Linked DNA regions of Oreochromis niloticus. The protein of the gene in region 3 purifies or fractionates together with the protein of the main gene of each other region. This does not show direct contact. Links are inferred from orthologs where the notes say so. Each region holds a gene or a part of one and is shown on either strand. Other genes may lie near its edges.

Region 1 (7,792 bases), on a different chromosome or scaffold from region 3:
TTTCATATAACTTAATTAAAGGTGTTGCCGTAGCACAAATATTGTGTGAGGTCAGGTTCAGTGACGCCAATTAGCTGAGGTTAAGCCTAGCAAACAGCTATTGACCACAGGGACCTGTGTCAGCACACCAATAATTGAAGCTTTAACAGTATCCAAATGGACAGTTGTTATAAAAGGAGGGATTAGCTATAGAGCTTTTTAACACAGGAGTGTTAGAGATTTCTCTGCTTTTGAAGCCAGACTCATTTTTGGCCATTAGAGGAATGTTGGCTTCGGTTTTTAGCCCCTGAAGTTGTCTGTGAGGAATATTAGGTGTATTTGTAGTTAGCTCCTCTGTGTGTTTTCAGATTAGCACACAGTCAGAGGTATTATCATTGTGTACCTGCATGCACCATTCTTGAAGCCTGAAATAAACTATTAAAGCATAAAACAAAGTAAAGTGTGTAATAAAGAAAGACATTTTCATGTCAACAGCTGAGTGGGGAGACTTAGGGAAATGTATATAATTCTAACTACTTATTACGTCCACCAAGGTAAACAACATAGCTCGAAAACTTAAGAATGAATTCTGATAAAACTTTGTGGGGGTGTAGAGTGGGATCATGTTAGCAATCTGTTAAAATTAGGCTTATATCCACCAAGGTCTTTAAGGTCAACTTCATGATTTATTAGTCAGAAATAGACTAAAAGCCTTAAAACTTATAAGTTATTATTCTTATAAATGTGGTGTGTATTTTCAACATTGTCACTAGATAAATCCGAAGGTCAAAATGATAATAATGCTGTATAGAGCTATTTAAAACTATGGTTCTTATTGCTGCTGTTTATATTGACAGCATATGGACACGTAGGGAATGATATATGTGGGTACCTAAATATCACGTTACTTTGGACCTCTGACCTTATCTTCAAAGTCAAGAAAGCTCAAACATTTAAACAACAATCTCCTTACCTTTAAAGCTCTGCTTAAAATTGTACTGTTTTTATTTGTGGTACAATTTAAAAAGAACAAAGAAAACAATAAATATATACAAAATAAACTGTAAAATGCCGCCAAAGAGAGCGAGCTGCCTTGGTGGAGGTTTGCACTTCTTGTTAGTTTTTCCACTTGCATCAGTTTTGCAGCTCCCTGTTTATTTTATTAAATAATATGAGTCATTTAAAAAACTGAAATAATGCTTACTAAATAATTTGTTTAACAGAAGATGACTACTCCGTGCTATCAAACTTCCCCGAAGCAACCAAAGTGGATGAGGAATCTGATGAATTCCAGAACGTGGTGAAGCAATTCTACGAGACCATTCAGGAATATCACAGCAAAATCCGAATCATACAGGTGAAACGATGAGCTCTGTCTTTTTTGCAGCAGCTGACTGTGGCTTTAGTGATGACTACAATCATTTTTGTTTTGTTCGCAGGTTGAGAAGCTCATGAACAAGCTGTTGTACAATCAGTACAAGCTGAAGAAGGCCAGCGTACTGCAGCGTGCCACCTACCCGCAGATCGAGCGCATCCTGTACCACGGCACGAGCGAGAGCAGCGTCAAGGAGATATGCGTCCATGGCTTCAACAGAAGCTTCTGTGGAAAGAATGGTACGCTTTTCATGCTGGCTTTCTTTGTCTTGTTTACATCGGGTTTTGTCACATCTTCTGATGCTCTGTTTTTTTCCACGCAGCCACCGTCTACGGTCAGGGGGTCTATTTTGCTGTGAACTCGGCTCTATCTGTCCAGGATCAGTATTCCCCCCCAAACGCGGATGGATACAAGTTTATTTTTGTGTCCAAAGTTCTAACGGGAGACTACACCAAAGGTTGCCATTCGATGAAGACGGCCCCGCTGAAGGAGACGGGAGATATCCCCCTCAGATACGACAGCGTGACTGATAACATTACCAAGCCGTCGATGTTTGTCATTTTCAACGACACACAAGCTTTTCCAGAATATCTCATCACATGCCAGAGAATCCACCGCTGAGGAGAATGGATTAGACGCCGGCGATGACATTTGGAGAGAGCAGACTGCTGATGCTTTAATGTTTCTGCCTTCAGTTTAAAAAAGCGATTTTGGTTTATAAAGGGCTAAGGTGTAATGATTTGATCAGCCGTGATCAAACCGATGAAGTGCTTCTCTGTTGATCGTTTCCCCTCTTTGATTTCCTCACTACGTTGTAATGTCATTAAAAAGAATCAAGCGACTGAACCCAAGAAGCCAGTTTTCATTCAGTAACTTTAAACATGCCCTTTCAGCACATTTACAGCTCATTGTGCCGCGGCTTTACATAGACAGCACTTATTGCATGACATTTGACTTGTAATAGTCAATTTGGTACTCACTGGCATCACTCCCACACTCCAGTTAATATTAGCCTGTCTTTTCCTCTGTTAATGTCATTGTATTCCTATAAGTGGAAGACAACTTTTTGATTAGTAGCCTGCTGACAGTACTACATGCACTCCTGTCTGCCTGCTTCCATCAGTAAGAGGTTATTGTGAATGAGCCAGATCTGATAGTACAAGAATATGACCCCTATTTAGTTTTACGTTTCGGTTAAGTTATTTGAGTTTCTCCCTAAAGTTTTTTTTTTCTTTCTTTTGGCTATGCAAGAATAAAACTTAAGTGTGGTTAAAATAAGAACAAAAAAAGTAGAGGTGTGTAGTCCACTGCTCTTCACGTACAGGTGGGCGTGAGTTGAAAACACTTGAACACAAATTAAAGATAATTCTGTCTTGTTTTGAGTCTCGTGATCTCTGTTCTGTCTTAAAAATTTAAAGCCTTATATCCATCACAGCTGTTGCACACGTCACAGACTGTGTATTGTTGTTTTTCTGAACCAAAATGATCTGCGAGCTCCAGTATGTGTTGCACAACGTGATAGTTCTTGATTGTCTTCTCACTAGTTCTGCTGATCCTTGTTTAATGAAGTGAGCACAGACAGCCTGATTTTAATTACAGTGCCTTCATTTTTCCAAGTGCTCTCATCACAAGTCCATCCATTCATCCATTCTCTTCTGCTTATCCTTCTTATCTGATCACAAGTCTTGGATTTTAATTAAGTCCTGGAAAGTTTGGGCCTTGGGTTTTTGCTGTGTTTAATTTAGATTGTCTTACAGTTACTACAAAAGTCTTTTGTTTTTAGCATCATGTTTGTTGTTTTTAATGAAGAATATTTCGTTTTAAGAGAGCTCCACTTCATTTATACGAAAAATAAAACTTTAAATGAGAAACCGTTTGATGGTCGTTTTACCCTATTTGTAGATCTTAGACCACTGTTGACCTATAACAAACACATCTGTAGTATCTGCACACATGTTGTCCAGTATGTGCTGATCTTATAACTTTACATGAAACATGAATGAAAAAGATGCTAAATGTATTTTGGAGATGGGTGTCGTAGCACACCTGTAACAGCAGTTCTGTAACAGCACAGCTGAGGATAAAGTTGGGTGGAGTCTGGCGATATTTATAAAAAAAAAAAAAAAGTTGCTTAAATGAGTGTTTACAGTATAATTCAAATCATTGAATTTAGGTCTTCCATGGCCACAGGTGTATAAAATCAAGCACCTAGACATGCACACTGCTTTGATTTGTGAAGGAATGGGTCCATTTCAGGAGCTCAGTGAATACCAGCATGGTACCGTCATAGGATGCCACCTGTGCAACCAGTCCAGTCTTGATATTTTCTCACTACTAAATATTCCACGGTTAGCTGTTAGTGGTATTAAAGCAAAGTGGAAGCGATTGGAAATGACAGTAGTTCAGCCTAAACTCAGCAACTTATAAACCCCGTGAAAAGCCTTCCCAGAAGACTTGAAGCTCTTATAGCTGCAAATTGTGGGCAGACCGATCATATTAAACTCTATGGATTAAGGGATACCACTCAAGTTCATGTGTTTGTAAAGGTAGACAAGCGAATACTTTTGGTAATATTTATTTTTATTTATTTATATATTTCCCTTTGTTTCCTTATATATTTTCTCATTAAGGTTTCAGCACACAATATCAACAAATCCTCATTATGTGATGTACCTCTAACACATGTGGGATCTACACATTCATCCACAAAACCTATTTTAACAAATGACTCACTTGGCGCACTCTGCTGGGATAAACCTGGCTTAATAAGTAAGAAATGTTTTCGAAGCTGTCTTTCACTGACAAGTGTGCACAAATGCTGTACACAAAATTGAGTAAGATAAATATGGAAAATTAAATGCCATTAAAATCTCATTAAAAAAAAATCAAATACAGAACACATTACAATCAGTAAAAGAATCAACAAAAAGCCTGATTAAACAAAAAAGATTTTAGCTATTTTTAAAGAGTCCACAGAGTCAGCTAAATAAATGTAATTGTAGTGGGACATTGTTACAAAGCCTTGGCGCCACAGACTGATAAGCTCTGCCCCCCTTTCACTTCATTTTTTTAAATATCTGTACACACACAAAATAACTCTGAGACAGCAGCTGCTATCAAAATGCTAAATATAGGTGGCGCTAATGTGCCTTGGAGTGGTTGGCTAAAAAAAAAAAAAAACACGAAGAAGAAGACCAACGCAGCCACAACAACGACAGCTAACCTTGCTATCGGTTAGCTAGCTTAAGTTGGTATCACACAAAATATGTCACGCTCACTGTGAACAAGGGAGGAAACAATAAAGCTGCAAACTCAGATAACGTGACGGACATAGGTACGTCCACGCGTTACATTCACTGCTTGTGAAAACATTTGAAAAATTGTAGCCTGTTACTATGCCATGCCAGCTACAAATGGGAACGTTAGCGTGCTGCTAAGGCAGCTAACTTAACCGGCTTTTCCCATACATTTGCTATTCGAAGCTAACTAAAATGAAGCTGAGACTAACAACACGAGTGGATATCGCTGGTTAAGTTAAACCAGTTATCAGAATAAATTCTAATAATTGATACACACAGACAAAATGTAGCGCTGGCATAAGCTAGCTAGCATTTGATCGTTTTGAAGCCTATTTAAGTGTACACTGACGTAATTTATAAAACGGCGCTCGGATTGTCTGTGCAGTTTTTGTTTAACGCAGATACACGCATACCTGTGTACCGATTGTTTTAGTGGTGAGGTGATGTCAGAGGTCTTGACGTGAGTGTTTTCACCTGTTAGATGCTGAGGGCAGCCTGCCACCATGTATGCCGTGTACAGACAAGCCCACACACCGACCTCAGTGGAGTTTTCTGTCTACTGCAACTTTATATCCAGTAAGGAGAAGAACCTGGTCGTAGCTGGAACATCTCAACTGTTTGTTTACAGGATCATTCATGATGTGGAGGTAACTTTAAATCTAAGGTTCACCTGTTTTTTTGTGCCTTTTTTTTTTAAAACACAAGCATAAAAGGGCTTTTTGATATATGCCACATTTGTCCTATTTCAGAGTACTTCAAAGGCTGACAAGTCATCTGGTATGTCAAAGAAAGCATCTCATTCAAATACACATTCTACTGTTGGTAAAAAATGTTTTTGGTTTTTTTTGCTGAGTCTCGACTTTTCTTGCGCAGATTCCAAATCTCGTAAAGAGAAGCTGGAGCAGGTGGCTTCCTTTTCTCTCTTTGGGAACATCATGTCTATGGCTAGTGTACAACTTGTTGGAGCCAGCAGAGATGCACTCCTTTTGAGTTTCAAAGATGCAAAGGTATTATAGAGCAAGCAGTGTGCTGCTTAAATAAACCATGCTTTTAACCCCTAGAATTGTTTCTCAGTGACCCTTGCCTGTGTTTTGTCTCTCACCAGCTGTCTGTGGTAGAGTATGATCCTGGGACACATGACCTCAAGACACTGTCTCTTCATTACTTTGAGGAGCCAGAGCTCAGAGTATGTAGCAACAAAAATAAACCTGAGTTTATGTTCATGTGTAAAAGTGACTCAACTGTGAATATAACTGTTCTTGTATTTTCAGGATGGCTTTGTACAGAATGTACATATTCCCGTTGTGCGTGTAGATCCAGAGAATCGCTGTGCTGTAATGCTCGTTTATGGCACCAAACTCGTGGTGCTGCCATTCCGAAAGGACACGCTAACGGATGAACAAGAGAGCGGTGTTGGAGAAGGGTAAGTTATACATCTAATTATTAAAGTTGATTTGTTACGCTCAGTTCCAGCTCAGTTGTTTTGATTTTTTTTACTCTACTAGAGTAGCTTTGCATGATTCAGTTAAAAAAAGGGCACCTTCCTTTTAAGCTAACTTTCCTTATCAGCCTTTTAACTTTTCATTCACAGGTATAGCTTGTACTTAAGTTCATTATTCTAGACTGACTGCTAAATACAATGCATCTAGTACTATAACAGTATTCTTGTGCCTCTCAAAAAGCTTTTTTTCATAATAATATTTAAATAAAAAAGTCACCATTTATGTATTCTATGTTCATTACAGTGAAGTGAATTATTTAAAGCCTTTTTTGTTTTATGGCGTATAACTCCAATAAATCGAGTATCTGAAATCATTAGATTATTTGCTAAGATCAATCAAAAGACAGAAATGAAACTTCTGAGAAGCATGTCCATTTGTACACTCAGTGCATGGCCTTTATCACAAATTCCTGCATAAGTGCGGGGCAGCATAGAGGTGATCAAAGCCCAGGCTGCTTTCACATTGACCTTCAGCTTGCCTCCATTTTTAGTATTTCTCAACTGATAAAATCCATAAATTCTCCATGAAATTCAGTTTGGCTGAGCTTGCCAATTAAGGGCAGTAACTTTGTCTGCAAACTACTCAGCCAAAGGTTTGGCACTGTGGGTGGGTCCTACTGGAAAAGGATCAGCATCTCCATAAAGCTTGTCAGCAGGTGGAAAGTTGAAGTGCATTAAAATCTGCGGGTAGACAGTTACGTTGACACTGGACTTGATAAAACACAGCGGACCAACAGCCAAGAACACTGGCAGGTCACATGGCACCCCAAATTGTCACAACTGTGGAAATGTCACACTGGGCTTGACACACCTTGGATTCTGTGCCTCTGCACTCTTCCTCCTGACTCTAGAAGTTTGATTTCCAAATGAAAGGGAAATTTTACTTTCACCTGAGAAGAGGACAGTTGGACCAATGAGCAACAGTGCAGTTACTTACAACGTAACATGACTACAACTAACCACACATCAGGTGGACACAGCCCACAGTTACTGTGATTAGCTGTTCACGGCTGTCCATCCCTTCTTTGCAGTTTCAGCTACTTTCTCACAACTGTTAGCAAACATTGTACAAGAGTCAATAATCATAAATGAGTAAGATAAAACAAACTGTTAAAAATAACCATAAAAATCACAACATCAATATAAGGAGTCACAATCAGCAGATTCCTGGAGAGAAATTGTACAAAGAAGTGGAAAAACTTTAAGGACAAATATTTTTGCCTCTGGAAAAAAACTAAACTAACCACAACAGAGAGCGAAGACTTTGTATTTATTTCTATCATGACTGCACTGTAAATAAAACACCTGGACACGACCACATGATAATTAACAGTTAATGCACCAGCACGCAACCAGAAATAAGGGCAGAGACATCAGCCTCTTATGTTACGTAGTCAGCTCCTCAAACAGTGCAGAAGTCTAGCCCAGGTTAGCTGTTTCTAACGTCTTGGGTTCAGGAAGGCACTTGTGGCCCATTTCCTGAAGATGTCTGTGCGCAGCAGCTCTTGATGCTCTGACGCCAGCCTCAGGCCACTCCTCTCCCAAGTTCCTGAATCAGCTCATGACAGTCCTCTTGAGGCTCCGCTCATTCCTGATTCCCCCTCCCAGCCGACTTTTAGGGAATAGGCTTTGATACAG
Region 2 (8,106 bases), on a different chromosome or scaffold from region 3:
TCAAACGAGACCTGTCTGAAGAATGTCAAAATTTACACATACTTGGCGTACCTCTGTCACTCAGCTTTGACTTAGGCTGATATGTAGGGTTAGTGCAGTTTTCTGACTGACATCCCTGACTGAAGTTTGATCAACAGGTAACAAATATTTAACTTGACTCTCTATTTAACTTGGGAAAGAAAAGTAGCTTCACTGGCTGTTCGTGTGTTTGCTAGGGATGCAGTAAAGCAAAACTGCCACATCATCCTCCGTAGTGACGCTACAGGCTGTTCCCACACCGACTGCTGTTAATCAACCATCTTATTTTGATATTAATAAGATCTACACAATAAAAAACAACCTTACTATATCCATTCCAATTTTCTCTTCAAAAGTAAGAGCCAGAAAAAACTTTTGGGGAAACTGGTACCTCCAAAACAACAGAATGCTATAACACACAGTTAAAGGTCTGGCACTTACTGGAGGGTGAGCTGGTTTGAACGTGAGATGGGGAGGTGTGTGTATCTGCCTCCTGGCTGCTCCAAGGTTTGTCCCAGCCAGACAGACGGAGAGACTGAAGACCCAGGCCCAGGTCTGTGACACCCGACGGGTCCCTGGACAACGACATCTCCTGAGAGCCAGGCATGGCATCGCAGTTTGGGAAAAGCATCCTCCTGCTGCCCACTGCAGCCAGGTCCGACTCTGCCGAAATCCAGTTCACAGATTAAGCAAGAGCGAAAGGAGATAAGTGTTAGACAGCCATAAAGAACGTTTTCCAACCTCCCATCGGCATCATTATACAGAAAAGATCAAAGCAAGACTTGTCAAAACCCCTTTTGGTAAAGAAACCGCAATAAACTCCCTCAATAAACACATCTCCCCTACCCTGGCTGACGGCGGAGCTAACCTGCTGCCTCTGTGCCTGGTGCAACTGCCATGCATCTCCGTCCGCATCACTGACCCACCTAGCAGCATGTGACATGGCTGCTGATGCACTCGCACACCCCTGCTAATGACATCAGCTTCCCCCACCTCCCCGCTTCCTTGCCTAACAACTGTGTAATGAAAAATTCCTGTTGGAGCTATTGGCTTGTTGATAGAAGTACTCCCCTCTGGTAGGCACAGCACGTCTCCGAGTCAGTGTGAAGACAGCTGCTGCCGTTACTGCTGCTTACTCTGTGTCTAGCCTTGTTTCCCCGAGCAAGCTGACAGAGGCAGGAGGGAGGGGGGGGAGAGAGGGGCAGAGCTACAGAAGCATGGCGGGAGGCAGCATGGGAGCAAATGACTCAGCAGACTTCAACTAAAGTATTGTAGACTTGAGGATGCTCAAGGTATTTCAGTTTCAGACTGGCTTGTGAATTTATTTTAGCACACCAACACTGAACAAACGGGCAAGCAGTGTCTCGCTGTAGCTGAAGCAGCTGACTGATCAGATGTTGAGGACTGAGTGATTTGCACCACCAGCTCCTCCCTTCCCTCTCCAGGCCTGGAAAGCTTCCAGCTGCCAGTTACACCCCTGATTCAGCAAGACTAAGCTGGAGTGGATGGGACAGAGACCAAAGAAGAACTTCAGCTCACTGTGCATCAAGATCCAGCTTACCTTTGCTATGCAACATTTATGCTCTGCTCATGTCAAACTAAGGATTGTATTGTCATCTAAAAATAAGACCAGTAGTCACAAGAGCAGACATGCCTTAAGCAAACTAACTGAAAGAAAGGACTCCAGCACTGAGCTGAGCCAAAATCTTGGCAAATACCTCTCCTGTGGTTTAAAAAAAAAAAAAAGACACTTAGAACTACTGCAATGCTGCAGACCAGCAATGCAGTATGAATCAGCTGCTGGCACCTGAATAAAAAGACAAGGTGAAGGAGGTTCAACAGCTTTAAAAAAGTCAAAGGGGGATTTCCATTATAGGCAATGCAGCCTCTCATCTTACAGAGTACCACATTGGTTTTGCACACTGCATGCATGTTCCTTCATGGTTTTGTGGTTTTAAGGAAAATGCAAACCACAGCAGCAGGAGAAGCTCCCACCGAGGTTAGAGGTCATGTGACCTGCTTTCTAACACTTCACTGTACATGAAACTAAAAGCATCAAAATTCACACAACTGAGAAATACTGGGAGAGATTCAAGCACTTTGGGACTCAAATTGTTGAAGTATTGCTTATGTAATATCCCTCAATACTACTGTACCTGTATTACTAATATAGCCCAATCTTTAGGTTTACTGAAAGAAAATTCTGCTTGAATAGCTAAAACACTTCCTTTTCTAGGATTTGCACAAGGATTTCCTGCTTTGTTATAAATATCATCTCAGGCTGTTTCCTGGTCAAAAACTGCATTTAAGATGAAAACACTGGAAAGGAAACCCATTTGGGAAACTGTAGTCTACAAGATTAAAACATTTTTATCAGACAGTGAAAACAGCTGTTGATACCATCTGGGGCCCAAAATCAAGGCCTTCACGTTTCCCTGACTGCAAGTGACCACAATGAGCACATGATGTGTAGGCAAATAAAGTTAGCAGAAAATGCAGTTTGACTATTAGACCTTAATAAAAGTACTACAGACTTGCGCGGACTTTGCTACGTATTAAGCTATTTGAGCATTTCTAAAACCCTTGCAACCCTCATGGCTACAGCCTCGTTTTAAATAAGTTTAGGCTGCAGTAGTGTCGGATACTAATGGTTTCTCGCCTTTGCACTCAAGCCCACCAATGTTTAACTCTTGCAGAGTGAATGACGAGTGAGGGTTTACCGGACATCAGGTTTGGTTTTCCCTTGGTGTTGGGTGTGGTGCACACACCGGTGAAATCCAGAGCGTTGCCCAGCATAGTGTTCATCCTGCGGAAGATGTCTGCGTTGCTGCAGGTGGACAGTGCCGGAGAATCGGTGTCCGGGCTCTCAGGCCTGCGGGCTTCGTTTCTCTGCAGAAGGAGGCCGTGAGAGGGACACAATTAACCCAGCACTCATGCTAAAAGCTAAAGGTCAAGCTTGTGCACCATGCTGCAAAGTGAATTTTTGTTTGTTTGTTTGTTTTGTTCCGGGGAGGAACTAATGGGCCAAATGAGGCGGTATACGTTCAAATAATAACGTTAGACGTGGCGCAAAACTGACTAATTTCACCCATTTAATGCCGTTTCAACTCACCAGGGAAAACGCCATGATGTGGACAGACAGCCTAAAAGAAATGTCACAACAACGACCGCTGGCTGCAATAAAAGGTCATATTTATGAGGCGTGCTAACAGCTAATTACTCATAATTTAGTGAACGTGTGCCCAGCTAATGACAGTGCTCGAGGGCCTCAGTCCGTTCACGTGCTCCACATCAAAGAGGAGGCCGCTGAAGGGAAAATCACGTGTTACTGTGGCCAACAATTTAAAGAGAGGCTTATTTAAAAATTACAGGGATATTTATCAATATTATAGCAGACAGAATATGTTTTATACGTGCAAACGTGAATTATGTCATTAAAAATAAAATAAAATACGCCAACATATAAAACCACAGTGCTCTCAGTGATTGCTGCGATGGAATCACAGCATATAGGACAAAAATAAAATAATAATTAAAAAATAGTATAGTACTATAATTTCAGATGGATGTGAACTACATTTGTTCTTATAAATTAATGTAAGAATTGTTTGTTTGAACATAACTGAAATATGACTCTTCAGTTCAGAGGCATGCCTTTAAACTTTATTTATCAAGAAAGGCAAGACTTAAAAACAGTTGTGAAGACCTCTAATAATAACCTGACTACTAATAACTACTACAAAAACAAATAAAAACAATGAAATAATTATTAAAAATGTTCATAAAAACACGTTTATACAAATGTTAGACAATATAAAAACAATAACATTCCAGGGTTATTGGAGCTTTACTTTGAAAATATTCAAATTAATTGAAAGGAAACACCTTGTGTGTCTCATTGTTTTCTTAAAAACAGCTTCATATGCTTTATCATTGTGACCCAAGATTCATTAAAGCAGATCTTGTATTCTTTCCTCTGGTATTTTATATCGTGTCGTAATCGGCCTCCAAATGCGGCCTCGGGAGGATGCAGCCTATGAATCCGGACACCGTGACACACCACAAAAAAAAAAAAATTAAACTTGGAGCCGCAGCCTCCCACTCTTTTCCTTTGTATAAATATAACGAATTACCACTTAGGGACTATGCTGCTGTACTCCTATTTATGAGATGACCAACCTCTTGAACTTTGGTAGGGCATATGAACTGATAGCTTTAACATTAAATCACCTGCTTAATATTGTGCTGCAAAACAGCTCGGAGTCATCAGTGGAATTGACATGATATCTCTGGGGTTGTCTTTTGTTTTTTTCTAATCACAAAGGTCCTGTGGGTTGCCTCGGTAGACTGGAGTTGATCCCTGGGGTCTCGTGCAAGCTTGTTCAGCTTGAGATTTGAGATGTTTGGAAGCTGGGTCAGCACCTGGGTCTCCTTGCTGTGTTCCTTGTGTGGTAGATGCATTGTCCTGCTGGGGGAACCCCTGCTGGTGTTGCAATATTTAGGTGGGTGGTTAGTGTCCCCTTAAATTCCAAGACCTGAGGTTTTGTAGCAGAGCGTTTTATTAAAACAAGATGATTCATTTTATACGCTTTACCTGCCAGTGGTTTTAATGCTGTGGCTGGTGGGTTGTCAGTTCATTAAAGAAACTCTGGAGGAAGTCATTTGTTGGCATCTTGTCATTTTCAGTGAAGTGTTGCAGTGTTTATTGACACCTTTTTTCTTTTATAATTCTGGTTCCAGTGTTACATAAGTCTGTAAGAGGTTAAAAAGAGCTCATAATCAGACTCAAAGATTAGTGCAGACCATCACAAAACCCAGTCTGATCTGGAGCAGTTATGGGAATAAAGTGCACTTTCACTAACCTCCACCAGATTTCTGTAACCTTAACAACAACACAGCAACCTTGTACTCTGCACCTGCACGTTGATAATATCAGACATGAGCAAGATGCCAAAAACATTTACTAAAATTGTTCCAAGGTCTTTTGTTTCAGTGGCCCACAGTTGGGCTTTGCTCCTTTACCTCTCCTCAATTGTATCAAGGTCATTTGTAGGTAGCCAAAACTAAAGACAGAAAGAAAGAAAGAAAGAAAGAACATTCTAGTTAAGCTGCTTGTAATAACTTCTATGAACTTGTTAAACCTCTTCTGTGAAAAATACCCATTTTAAGTACAGAAGCTAATTAAAGTACAAGTAAAAGTTCATATGAAATCATAAGTTTGCCTCTGTACACTGTCAAAGTTGCTTTTAAATAAAACAAGATGCAACTGAAATTAAAAAAAATCAGCTTTTATTCAACATGTTCAGCAGAACTGTTCATAATTATTTACACGTATCCTTTTAGAGGCTTGATTTGTACAGTCGACTCACAAGTGGTTTCAAGGCTGTGTTACTGTTATTCTAATGACAAATGAAGTTCTTTTACAAATGCAAACTAAGAATAAAAAAACTGCACTGGCGAGAAAATTTGAAATGGGACCTTTTTCCCTCTTAAAACTAGTTGAATAGAGTTTTATTACCTGCCAGAGAACAGAGTACATTAACATTAAAAATATATGTATATTTCATCGCAAATATGATTAAAAAAAACACACGAAACAGGATCAACTTGTGAACGTGCAGGTTGTGGTTTATAAAGAGGCTTAGGTTATGATCCACTCTGTTGTGCAATGAACAGCAACTGTGTGTTTTTAGATTGAGGGATGCGACAAGTTTATATCGTACAACAATAAGAGAATAACAAAGAGTACACACAGCAGATGACCAAAATAGCATTGTAGGTGACCTGTGAAGGGATTCAAATTGTCCACTTAACTGACTCTGGTTGGCTTTTCTAATAAAATATGCTTTCTGAGACTGTAATCACAGACAAGGAACCACTACTTACTTGCACTTGGATGGATGATATACAGTCAGGTCCATAAATATTGGGACATTGACACAATTCTAACATTTTTGGCTCTATACACCTGTCGCCAGTACAAAAGCAAGTCGCCGTCCATCCAGGACAGCAAGACACATGACCGAGAGTGGGAGAGAGAAAGGGAGGGCGACCGGCCACGCTCCTCGCCCTCGCAGCACATCATGCAGTCCCATCACCACCTGGGATACCCTCTGTACGACCTGTCCTACCCCTCAGGTGAGCCTCGCCTGCTGCCTTTAGATCCTCTTCAGCTCAGGTGTTCTCAGACTGGAGGACAACCTGCTCAGAGTTTAGTGACCACCCACACAGCCATGGCACACAGCTATGGTGATGTCATACATAGACCTGTTTCAGGTATAAATGCAGGTAGATGATGTCGGCCCTGCAGTGTGTTCATACACTCGCTGAAAGCGTTTGTAGAAGAGGAGGACGGGGTAATACCTGGTGCTGAAGGTTACCCCAAACCAAGCTGACCTCTCCTCCCATGATTCATAGCTCGAAAGGGATCCTCTGAGCCCGCCCACTTCACCCCACTGAGCCTGCAGCTGCTTTTAATGAGTGGCGTGTGCGAATCTGCCTGTTTCAGTTCTGACATCTGGTCTTTGTTTCAGGCCTCTCATCCTCCTCCATCGTCGCCAGTCAGCAAGCGTCCGCCCCGTCCTTGTACCCGCCCGCACGGAGGTGAGAACGGTAAGACACACACACACACACACACACACACACACACACACACACACACACAGGAAGTGTTTTAGTTTTTTGTTTTTGCTCTTTCTTGCTACTTTTTTTTTAAACACACCAAAAACTCACAATTAATAAAAAGCAGTTATGCGTGAGTAATGCGCAGGTGCTCATCACATCCGTGAACATGCTTGGACTTCTGTGCTGCTCCTCTCCACCTGTACTTAAATTCACCTGCCCTACTTCAGGTGTCTCAGTGCAGCAGCTTCACCTACTGGTCAGATCAGTGAATCTCAGTGTAAAAAAACAGAGTGTTACTGAACAGGACATGAGCCTCCTCCTCCTCCTCCTCCTCCTCACCTTCTTCTTCTTTGTTTTAATTTCAAACCATTCCCTGGTAAAATCTACTGACCCGTGATCTCCTCTCACTTTCTACAGGCACACCTGATTGGTCAGCCTCTACGCCTCTCCGAGTAATGTGACTGGATCACGTGAAGAAGCATTTCTGTTTCTGTGACATCAGTTCAGTGGTGTTCTGTGTATGTTTGATATGTGTGCCTGGACGTCCAGCCAACTGCTCCGACCCTCGCTGGACCGGATCCTGGTCCCTTTGGGTTTTGCTGGTTCTGGGCGGTCCCGTTGGCCAACAGGTGCTGCTGGGATGCAGGTGGGCAGAGCTCACAGTGACGTACCTGCAGGGACGACTGGGTGACCTCTGACCTCTTTCAGAAGGATGGGCTCAGCTCCGGATGACATCACACCGTTACCTGGATGCGTCTCAGCTTCACGTGAAATAAAGAGAACACTGGATGGAGGAGGGCCGGCCAATCAGAGGGCAGTATTCAGTATGCTTCCTTGTACTGACTGAGTGACAGGCTCCTCCTCCTCAGTGTGTAGCTGTAAACGTGCTCTGTGTGTGTGTGTGTGTGTGTGTGTGTGTGTGTGTGTGTGTAAATATTGTACAGAGGAATTATTTTAAAGAGCCTGTTGGATGATGTTGGATTTCCTACTCTTCTTTTTGTCTGGTAGTCTCTGCCTCTGTTTTTCTACTGTTGTTGATCTGATATTAAACCTGTAGCTGGTGGAGCAGCGCTCGAGCTCAGTGTCCTCATTTATTTCCTGAAAACACCAGAGAGAAGCTGATGTTGTGAAACGTCTTCAGGTCCTGGAATGATGGGAGGCAGGAGGGATTCGTTCAGATTAAAGGGTTCTTTCAAAACAAAAAGCTTGCAGGTTCTGGTTTCATTGTGTAGAATAAAATATTTCCTGGTTTAAAAACTTAAAACAAATGGAGAAATGTGCTTATGGATGTGGATCCATATATTATTCACTTTATTCAGTAATATGTGGCCTCGTTAATAAAGAACTGACCTGCCTAATGTACTGCAAAGCACATGCACATATATTTCAGGATCACTGTAACCTCAGTGGCTTTAAATAAACTTTATTTTGGAGTTTCATATTTTGATTTTGATTTTTCTAGCC
Region 3 (8,069 bases):
CAATCTTAAAAGGTGAACTTCACCACCTCAACACATCATATGAGTCTGGTATCTGTACCGTAGTGAATGTACGAGTGATCTGTGGGAACTTTGTCCAGACTGATGTCGCCTTCCTGTCGCTTGGGGACGTCAGAGTCAGCTGTCCGCGGTGAAAGAGTGATGATTAAAGATTCGGTAAACTTGATGGCATGAGTGCGAACGCCGTCGTTCTCAGAGTCCAGCAAGGCCAGAACATCCCCTTTCATCTGCGTGACGAGATCCCAGCACGCCTCCTGCATTTCTGACACAGCTTTGGAGCGCACCAACCACTGAGACGAGAAAAGATAAAGGAAGTGAAGACGAAGTGAAGAACAGAAACGGATCGCATAAAGAAAGAAAAGGTAGAAATGAAGCCGGTATATCTGACTCTTTGTACCTGAAGTGTGACTTTGTACAGCTGGGTGAGGGTGAGGATGGCTTTCTTCACCACATTCACACTTTCATCCTTCAGCAACATGTTCAGGTTGGCGATGAGTCTGAGGAGGAGCTCGTTGTCTCTTTTACTGAAAGCAGATAATAAAACAGTAAAAAAATCTCAAATGCTGACCCTGACTTAAAAAACAAACAAACAAAACAACAGCAGGTCTGAAAACTCACCATGCCTCCTCGATGAAGCCGATCACAAACTTTTTCACTTCGATGGACTTGTCTGTCTGGAAAGCGATTATCTCCTACAGGACAAAAAAAAAAGTAACAAAAATGAGGCAAATTTAAATGAAACTATAGCTGGTTATGAGAGCCGAATACTTGCTTACTTACATCCAAAAAATTGTCGAGAAGAGATGGATCCTTGTTGATGATGAGTTCCTGGACCTGAAGGTTAAATACATGTACTGAATCAATGTTCTTGTGCATTCCTGGGTAAGTGGATTAGACACCAGTCTACACGGTTGCACTGAGATCTTCTGATCATTTCCAACTCTATATTGGACTCGGCTAGACTAGCTTTGCACAATTCACAGTTAAAATAATCCTTTTTTGTCTTATACTCAATCCATTGTGCAGCCCCTAAGTTCCTCCTCTCTCTGAAGCTGAAGTTGTTTTAGCCCCTCCCCCTTTAAGTCAGTTTTCTTCTGATTGGCTGCCCCTCATAAATAGACTATCTCAGCTGCAGATATGGGTGAGACTTCAACACCATGCTCTGGCACCTTAGTAGTGTATAGTTAAACTTGTTTACAGTGAAATAAACAGGAACATTTTTTTCATGTAGGTTGCAGGACAATAGTTTTACTGGTCTGGTACTCTTAAAAACAAACTGGGCTCTAAAACAAGTTTGACACTCCTGGTTTATAGCCGTCTGAAGCCTTCTGGCTCACAGGGATTACCTGCACATACACAACCTCATTAGTGGAAATTTTGTACATGTTTAATATGAATATCCATTGCTGGAAAACATGTATGGGACAGAAAATCAGGAAATCCAGAATGGCTCCACTTTAGAGTTTATAATCATATATGTTTAGCAAAAATATCACACATGTGACTTTCTGCCAGCAGCCTCGTGTAGGTTAAAAAAAAGCTTTTTGATGGTAGATCCAAAAAGATATGCTGACAGTAAAAAGTTTGTTTAAGCCTGCAAGTCCAAGTCATCATCTACAATAACTCAAACTGCCTTCAGCTGCACCTTTTAGGGATCCTCCAGCTCATCCTATTCCTGCATCCTACTCTGTCACATCTCTTTACAACATCCTACCTGTACATTTACCTGTACCTTTTAGGATCGTTTTAAAAGTTCTTTTATTTGTTTCTAAATATCTTAATGGCCTGGCCCCTCCTACCTCTTGGAGCTACTACAACCATATACACCTGCCCATTCCCTTAGGTCCGCCAATCAGCACCTCCTTAAGGTACCAAAAACTAAGTATAAATTTAGAGGTGATTGTGCTTTTGCTGTAGCGGCTGCAAAGTTGTGGAAGGATCTGCCCTTGCACGTTGGGCAGGCCTCTTCTCTTTCTGAGTTTAAAACTCTTCTTAAAACACATTTATTTGCTGAAGCTTTTGGCAATCTTTAAGGGGTTGACTCAATTTGTTTTAACATGTTTTATTTTATTTTATTTATTTTATCTTATTTTATTTTACTTATGCTATTTGGCATTTTTTCTCCTGCCTGGCAGCTCCATCTTCAACATCTTTTGTCCTGTATATCCACTATTGTTCCTCTGCAAATGTCCAAATCATTTCAGCCTTGCTTCTATTTGTCTCCAAACTGATTAACCTGAGCTGTCCCTCTCTCTGACGAACTCATTTCTAACCTTGTCCTTTCTGGTCACTCCCAGTGACAATCTGAGCATCTTTCGATTCTCCACCTTTCTCCACAGCCTGTGGTTAGGGTTGTGCTCAGTCTTTTGTATCACAGAGTTAAAAAGTCTAAGCTACAAACCTGTTTGAGCACATTCAGCTTCTCATCTGTGGGTATCAGAGCAGCCTGATTCAGGAGCTCCACAACCTGGAAGGAGAAAGCAGACCCCCATTACATTACAGTTGATTTAATAAAGGCACAGCTGAGAGATTTTCTAATTTAATATGTTGGTATTTGTGGCTCATCTGGCTGCTCAACACTAGGACAAACCTACTGTATATGTACTTGTTGCTGCAGGTTTCAGCAAGGTAAATGTAAGACTTTTAAAGCCGTTTTTGTAAAAAGCTTTTCTGGCAAAAAAGTGGTCTATTGCCGTTGAAAATGGTCGCCATTTTTATAATCCCAACTATTGTGATTTCATCCAGTTTTTAAAGCATAAAACCCATAAATCTTCCCCTAAAATGTTTATCAGCGATCACAAAAACGGACCTTCTCGCTGGTGGTCATATCGATGACAGCGGGGGCCTCAGAGTCCCCCTCCTGTGAAGAGAAGTCCATGTTTTGGCCCTCACACTGGTGATAACATGCTCCAAAGATCTGTAAACACACGAATAATAAGGATGTTATCTGTGTTATTATACCAGAGTGCTACACGCTGTTTATTAGCCTTTAATAAGACGCTCCTGTTAGCCTTGTGCTAACGGCGGGAGCTGCTTTAACTCCTTTATGCAAACAAATGTGCAAAAGCTACTTACCGTTTAACCCTGTCTTTAATTTGTTCTTCCAACAACAATTAAATATCCCGAGTGTCAAGAACTTATAATCGCAGGAGGCGTCTTAAACTAAAGCACTAAAACTCTTCTAGCTCATAATGGACGCAGCCATGTTTGACCGAAAGAAGCGGCGTCAAACTTCTTCTTCGACTGTTGTGAATAAGCACGAGCAGAAATAACAGCGGCCACTAAAGGAGACATCTGCGCCACTACAACAACAACAGAAACCTGCTGTTCAGATAAAATTTGCATTGAAGGACTCAAAGATTCAAGGATTCAAGGATTCAAGGATTTTCATTTACGACACATTTACACAGATGAGATGAATCGGAATTAAAAGCCAACAAGAATGAGAACACAAACAAGAAACACAAACAAGAAACAAAAAAATATTTACAACGTAATTCAATATAAATAAGACAATATTAAGTATAATATAGCTGTATGTATAAATTAGTAAGAAGTATGTATAATGATTGTATTTGTATAGTGCAATGACACAAATGGTTTCTCGCGTTTGTAACCTGTGGCTGAGCAGCAGAGACTACGGAGCACCACCAGAGCTTTGTAGTCCAAATCAGCTAAAAACTAATTAAAATATTGCTTTTAAAATATTAACTAGTAACAATATTGTGATAAAAGCAAAAGTATAATGAAATTAAAGTACAAAGCAAATTACTTTTTATGGATAAAAATTACAAACTGTAAGGGAATCACTCAATAGACTTCAGATAATACTAAAACATTACTGACCCATATAAAATCAAAGAAAATGAGCAAAACGTCTTTGAAGCTCCTATTCTTTATTTGTGTTTGTAAATGATGTGTTCTCCACAGCCTGAGGTAAAATTGAATTAATTTGCTCAATTTAATTTCCAAAAAGTCATTTTCAAAGGTGAAAACACCAAGAAAATGTATGAGTTTATAAATGAAAAAACAAACATTTTCCCCCTTAAGACTTCATACCCCAGAATGCCTTGCACTGTAAGTGATGTCACCTGACAGGAGGCTGAGCTAATGTTTACAACCGCTGGGCTGGTGACACTTTTATCGCTAAAAACTGTGATTTTTGTCAGGATTTCCGGAGCGTATGGGATGATGCTTAAATAATGGCGCAAACTAAATGACGCACTCTCACATTCGGGTAAAAATATCTTATTTTACTATTGTTTCTTTTTCATTTTTCAATCAAGCCAGTTAGCGCTTAGAATGCTAATAGGTAAACAAGCAGCTAAACGCAGCACACCTGCGACGGCGGTACACTGAGTAAGTGGACTTCAGCCTGAGCTGTGGGCAATGAACTGGAGTAGATGTCACGATAAGTTATAAAGTAAAGCGTCGGGACACCTGTCGACCTCCAGACTGTCAGAATTTAACAGGTAATAAATTAGCTAGCTTAAAAGCCGTGAGTGCCTAGCTTTGAGGAGGTCGTGTTTTCAGCAGCTTACCTGTTCGTACCTTAAAGAGTTACTGCAACGCTCTCTGGATGTACTGCGCGTAGCTAGCTGGAAGATAGTTGGATTTAAAGCTCGGGTAAGTGAAGGTGTACGCATGTCTTTCATTAGTAGTCGTTTAAAAGTTTTCTGAAGTGTGTTTTTTAAGTTCGGGACATGCCTTTTGACAGTTTAAAACCAAGCAGAACAAATTGTATTTACAAATAGTCTCCTACTATCTGAAAATGGAGCCACGAGCACCATTTTACCGAAATCTATCCCTCCGTTTGGTGTTTCGATGGCAGTAAAAAGTTCTGTTATAACATATGGTTCGCCTCGTTTCAACACAGGGTGGATTTTATTGATCCTATATGTGGTGAAATTCACATATGGTGGACAACAACAGGTAGAATATTAAACAAAGTCTGTGTAGGTTCTCAGTAATCTTAAATCTATCTGTTCAGTAAAGGAGACCATCACAAAGTAGCGTTGGTGGCCTGTCCACCAGCTACCTTTAAAGCAAGAGATTCTTCATTCACAACTTGTCCAGTGTGACCTAATGAGTCTCATAAAGTCAGGATGGGTCAACAACGTCCTCCAAGGTGACAGCCCCTCTAGTGGGTAAATACACAGGCCTTCCTCTCAGCTCTCTGAACTTAAGTTGCCTCTCAGATGAGACTTAAAGTGTCTTCAGAAACTTAAGTCAAGTTTCCTTCAATTTGATCACTTCAGGTTAATCAAAGTAGAGTTGCTCAGTAAAAAGAATAGAATATGTGAAAGAAAATAACTCTGAGGTCAAAATTAGTAGTTAGATCAGAAAAAGTGTTGCTAGTAAGGCTTGAGTTAGATATCTGCAGGGAGTGTTTGTAGCACCTATGATGTAACCTGTGTAATTGGCCAACGTCATTGTCGGCATTTGTGCTTGTACCAGTGGATTACGTGTTAATTACCATGTGGTCGTGTCCTGGTGTTGTACATGTCCTGCTGGTCGATAGGAACAAACAAAATGCTGGGATCTTTTTCTTTTCTGGGTCCAGCTCTTTGTTGTGGACAGGTTTTTTTTTTTTCTTTTTTTTTTTCTTCAGGCTAAATATATGTCCTTCAAGTTTTTCCAACTCTTTGAACATTCCCTGATATCTTCCAGTAGATTGAGCAGTCTCCCTCCAGGAATTTGCTGAGATTTGCGAGTCCTTATATTGATACTATGATTATTAGTCTTTATATTGAGACAATGATTGTTAAGTGGCTGGAAATGCACAAGAGTAATCAATGGCTCTGGACAGGCCGATCACAGTAGTTGTGTACTGCATTGACCTGATGTGTAGTTGCGTTTCTAAGAAGGTGCACCTCGGGTTACGTGGTAGGTTAAAAAGAGAGTTTCAGAGACAACAAATAAGTAAACTTAGATCAACTACATCTCTAACCTCAGACTAAAACACACTCACAGCAACAACAAAAACAATCAAAGAAGTAATGAAAAGTAAAGCTTGAAAAGTAAAGCATGAAAGTAAAGCTTTCATGTCACATACAGCTGCAGGTGAACTCTAAGTATTTAAGTTACAGTCTGCTGGACAACACTTCCACAGTTTAACTCCAAAGTTTAACGGATACACCGCAACATTTCATATTTTTCAAAAATTTAATTTTCTCTTAATTTGTATTTGTTATCCCTCATTTTAAAAGTGGGTAGTCGGCTGGTATTTGTCTGTCGTATGATTTGTTTCCCCACACCACCACTCAGTAACCCACATATGGAACAATAAGTAAATAATATAAACTAAGAATAATGATATTTCACAAAGTCTTTAAATTAGAAAAAAGTTAAGCATTTTAATTTTGACATGATTACTGTAAAGTAAGATGACTGCATGTTAGCACAAAGACAGTAGTGAATTGTTAAAGCTCAGTGTCTGCAGACCCCTCACAAACACCCAAAGCTCAGTGTTCTGGAGTTAACAGAGGCAGCGATGAGCATTCAGATCTGCAGCCTTTATTTCCACCGCAGCATTTTTCTGTGAGGTGTTCTTTGGGCTGGTTAACGCAACGCTCACATCCTCATCAGGAAGAGGATTTGTGTCAGAGTGCGTGGGACTGTAGCCTCAGGTTTATATTTTCCTTTTCTTCACACAGATCCATGGTCTGCTCTCTGTGCAGCGTTTAACTCTTTACCCTTTGAAAGTTGACTAGAAGCAACCCTTAAAGCTCTTTTCTGAACTGATTGGTTTGTGTCATATTTCAGACTTGCTTACAGAACAAAATAACTGGGTTTGAATCAAAAGTTAGTGAGGCTGGTCTCTGCCTGTGCAGCTACACAAACTATTCTGATGGTCGTCAAACCTCGTCTTTATTTAAATACACTCACTTGTCAAACTCATCATTAAGGGAACAGAGGTCATCAAATATAGGGGATAGAGTTAAATGTGTACTCATGGACATTTGTTGTTTTTCCTTTAATTTGTCATTCGGTGTAGATATACTTTTAAAAAACAGCACAGTAGAGTAACTCTCCTGGCTTCTAATTTTTTTTAATTTTTTTTTATTTTTTATTTTTTTTGCAGGTGTTTAACTGCGAGTCTCAACTTAAACTGGCTGAAACAAAGAATCTGAGCTGACCTTCAAAGAGACTGGCTAAAATTCAGTTTACGTATTGGCGGCGACCAGGTGGGTGTTGAAGTGGTAAAAATATAACATTACTCCTTTAAACATTTGACTGCAGGCAAACTTACAGACACTAACACACTTATTGTTTGGACGAAAGTTTTCTGAAGGTTTATTTATGTCTTGCATTGTCTGTCTAACTTCCACTTCCAGATTAAAAACCTCCACACTAGATTAGCCATGTTCAAAATTCAGGTTTTGGTTGATAGAGTGAAGTATTTCTTGGTGTGGTTTCATAACTTTTTAGATGTTTTTAGTGATTAAAATGTTGAATAGCAGCTTTTAAAACGGGTTTAGAACAGGTTCATCAGCTTTGAAGCCGAAAAAAAACTAAGGTAAATAGTTGGGAAGTATATAGTTGGTCAACCTCGGAGCTCACTGCCTGTCTTCTGATGTCGTCATCAGCGAGGCAGTTTCTGAATTTCCCCTCTCACCGTCCCGATGGAGTGGGTGTTCATCATGAACCGGATGAGCTCTCAGGGTAGCTCTGCAGCCCAGCGGAGACGGATGGCTCTGGGGGTGGTGATACTCCTGCTGGTGGATGTCATCTGGGTTGCCTCCTCCGAGCTGACCTCGGTAAGTCTGATCTCCACGCTTGTGATGTTGGAGCCAAACACTGAAAAGGCTTAATAAAACGGTGACCATGTTTAATGTGACCCATCCACCACAGAAAGCAGAAAAAGATAAAGCAGAATAGGCCCACTTTAAAACGAAGCGCAGATACAGCAGATAGTGCTGGACTAACTTTACCTGATCGTGATGCTCTTCCTTCACATCTCATAAGGAAAAACTGCAGTTAAATATATTTAAACTGTGAGTTTCAACCTTTGAAATGAAGTTTTTGAAACAACTCCTCCTGCAGTACAT

Evidence for each region.
Region 1: the proteins of sympk (region 3) and cpsf1 fractionate together in Homo sapiens (co-fractionation; 5 studies listed by BioGRID and IntAct, with this or other methods). This does not show direct contact. The link is inferred for Oreochromis niloticus from reciprocal best matches to the Homo sapiens genes SYMPK and CPSF1.
Region 2: the proteins of sympk (region 3) and cytoplasmic polyadenylation element-binding protein 1 purify together in Homo sapiens (affinity purification with mass spectrometry; 3 studies listed by BioGRID and IntAct, counting the BioPlex papers as one, with this or other methods). This does not show direct contact. The link is inferred for Oreochromis niloticus from reciprocal best matches to the Homo sapiens genes SYMPK and CPEB1.

What each region holds. Positions count from the first base shown.
Region 1 is NC_031985.2:31,556,971-31,564,762, reverse strand, and holds the start of cpsf1 (cleavage and polyadenylation specificity factor subunit 1), read left to right. Parts: upstream 1-4,522; 5' UTR 4,523-4,688; intron 4,689-5,134; 5' UTR 5,135-5,156; coding exon 5,157-5,300; intron 5,301-5,402; coding exon 5,403-5,430; intron 5,431-5,526; coding exon 5,527-5,660; intron 5,661-5,758; coding exon 5,759-5,839; intron 5,840-5,924; coding exon 5,925-6,076; intron 6,077-7,792. UniProt on the Homo sapiens protein: Component of the cleavage and polyadenylation specificity factor (CPSF) complex that plays a key role in pre-mRNA 3'-end formation, recognizing the AAUAAA signal sequence and interacting with poly(A) polymerase and other factors to bring about cleavage and poly(A) addition.
Region 2 is NC_031965.2:10,752,771-10,760,876, reverse strand, and holds the start of cytoplasmic polyadenylation element-binding protein 1, read right to left. Parts: upstream 3,293-8,106; 5' UTR 3,146-3,292; coding exon 3,131-3,145; intron 2,908-3,130; coding exon 2,739-2,907; intron 1,041-2,738; exon of another isoform or gene 918-1,040; coding exon of another isoform or gene 887-917; intron 682-886; coding exon 460-681; intron 1-459. Other genes in the region: zinc finger protein 609, read left to right, coding at 5,919-6,156, 6,552-6,621, 7,060-7,069.
Region 3 is NC_031987.2:7,110,607-7,118,675, forward strand, and holds the start of sympk (symplekin), read right to left. Parts: upstream 3,279-8,069; 5' UTR 3,094-3,278; intron 2,936-3,093; 5' UTR 2,897-2,935; coding exon 2,828-2,896; intron 2,486-2,827; coding exon 2,420-2,485; intron 853-2,419; coding exon 799-852; intron 711-798; coding exon 637-710; intron 543-636; coding exon 416-542; intron 309-415; coding exon 59-308; intron 1-58. Other genes in the region: solute carrier family 35 member F5, read left to right, coding at 7,644-7,778, 8,065-8,069. UniProt on the Homo sapiens protein: Scaffold protein that functions as a component of a multimolecular complex involved in histone mRNA 3'-end processing. Specific component of the tight junction (TJ) plaque, but might not be an exclusively junctional component. May have a house-keeping rule.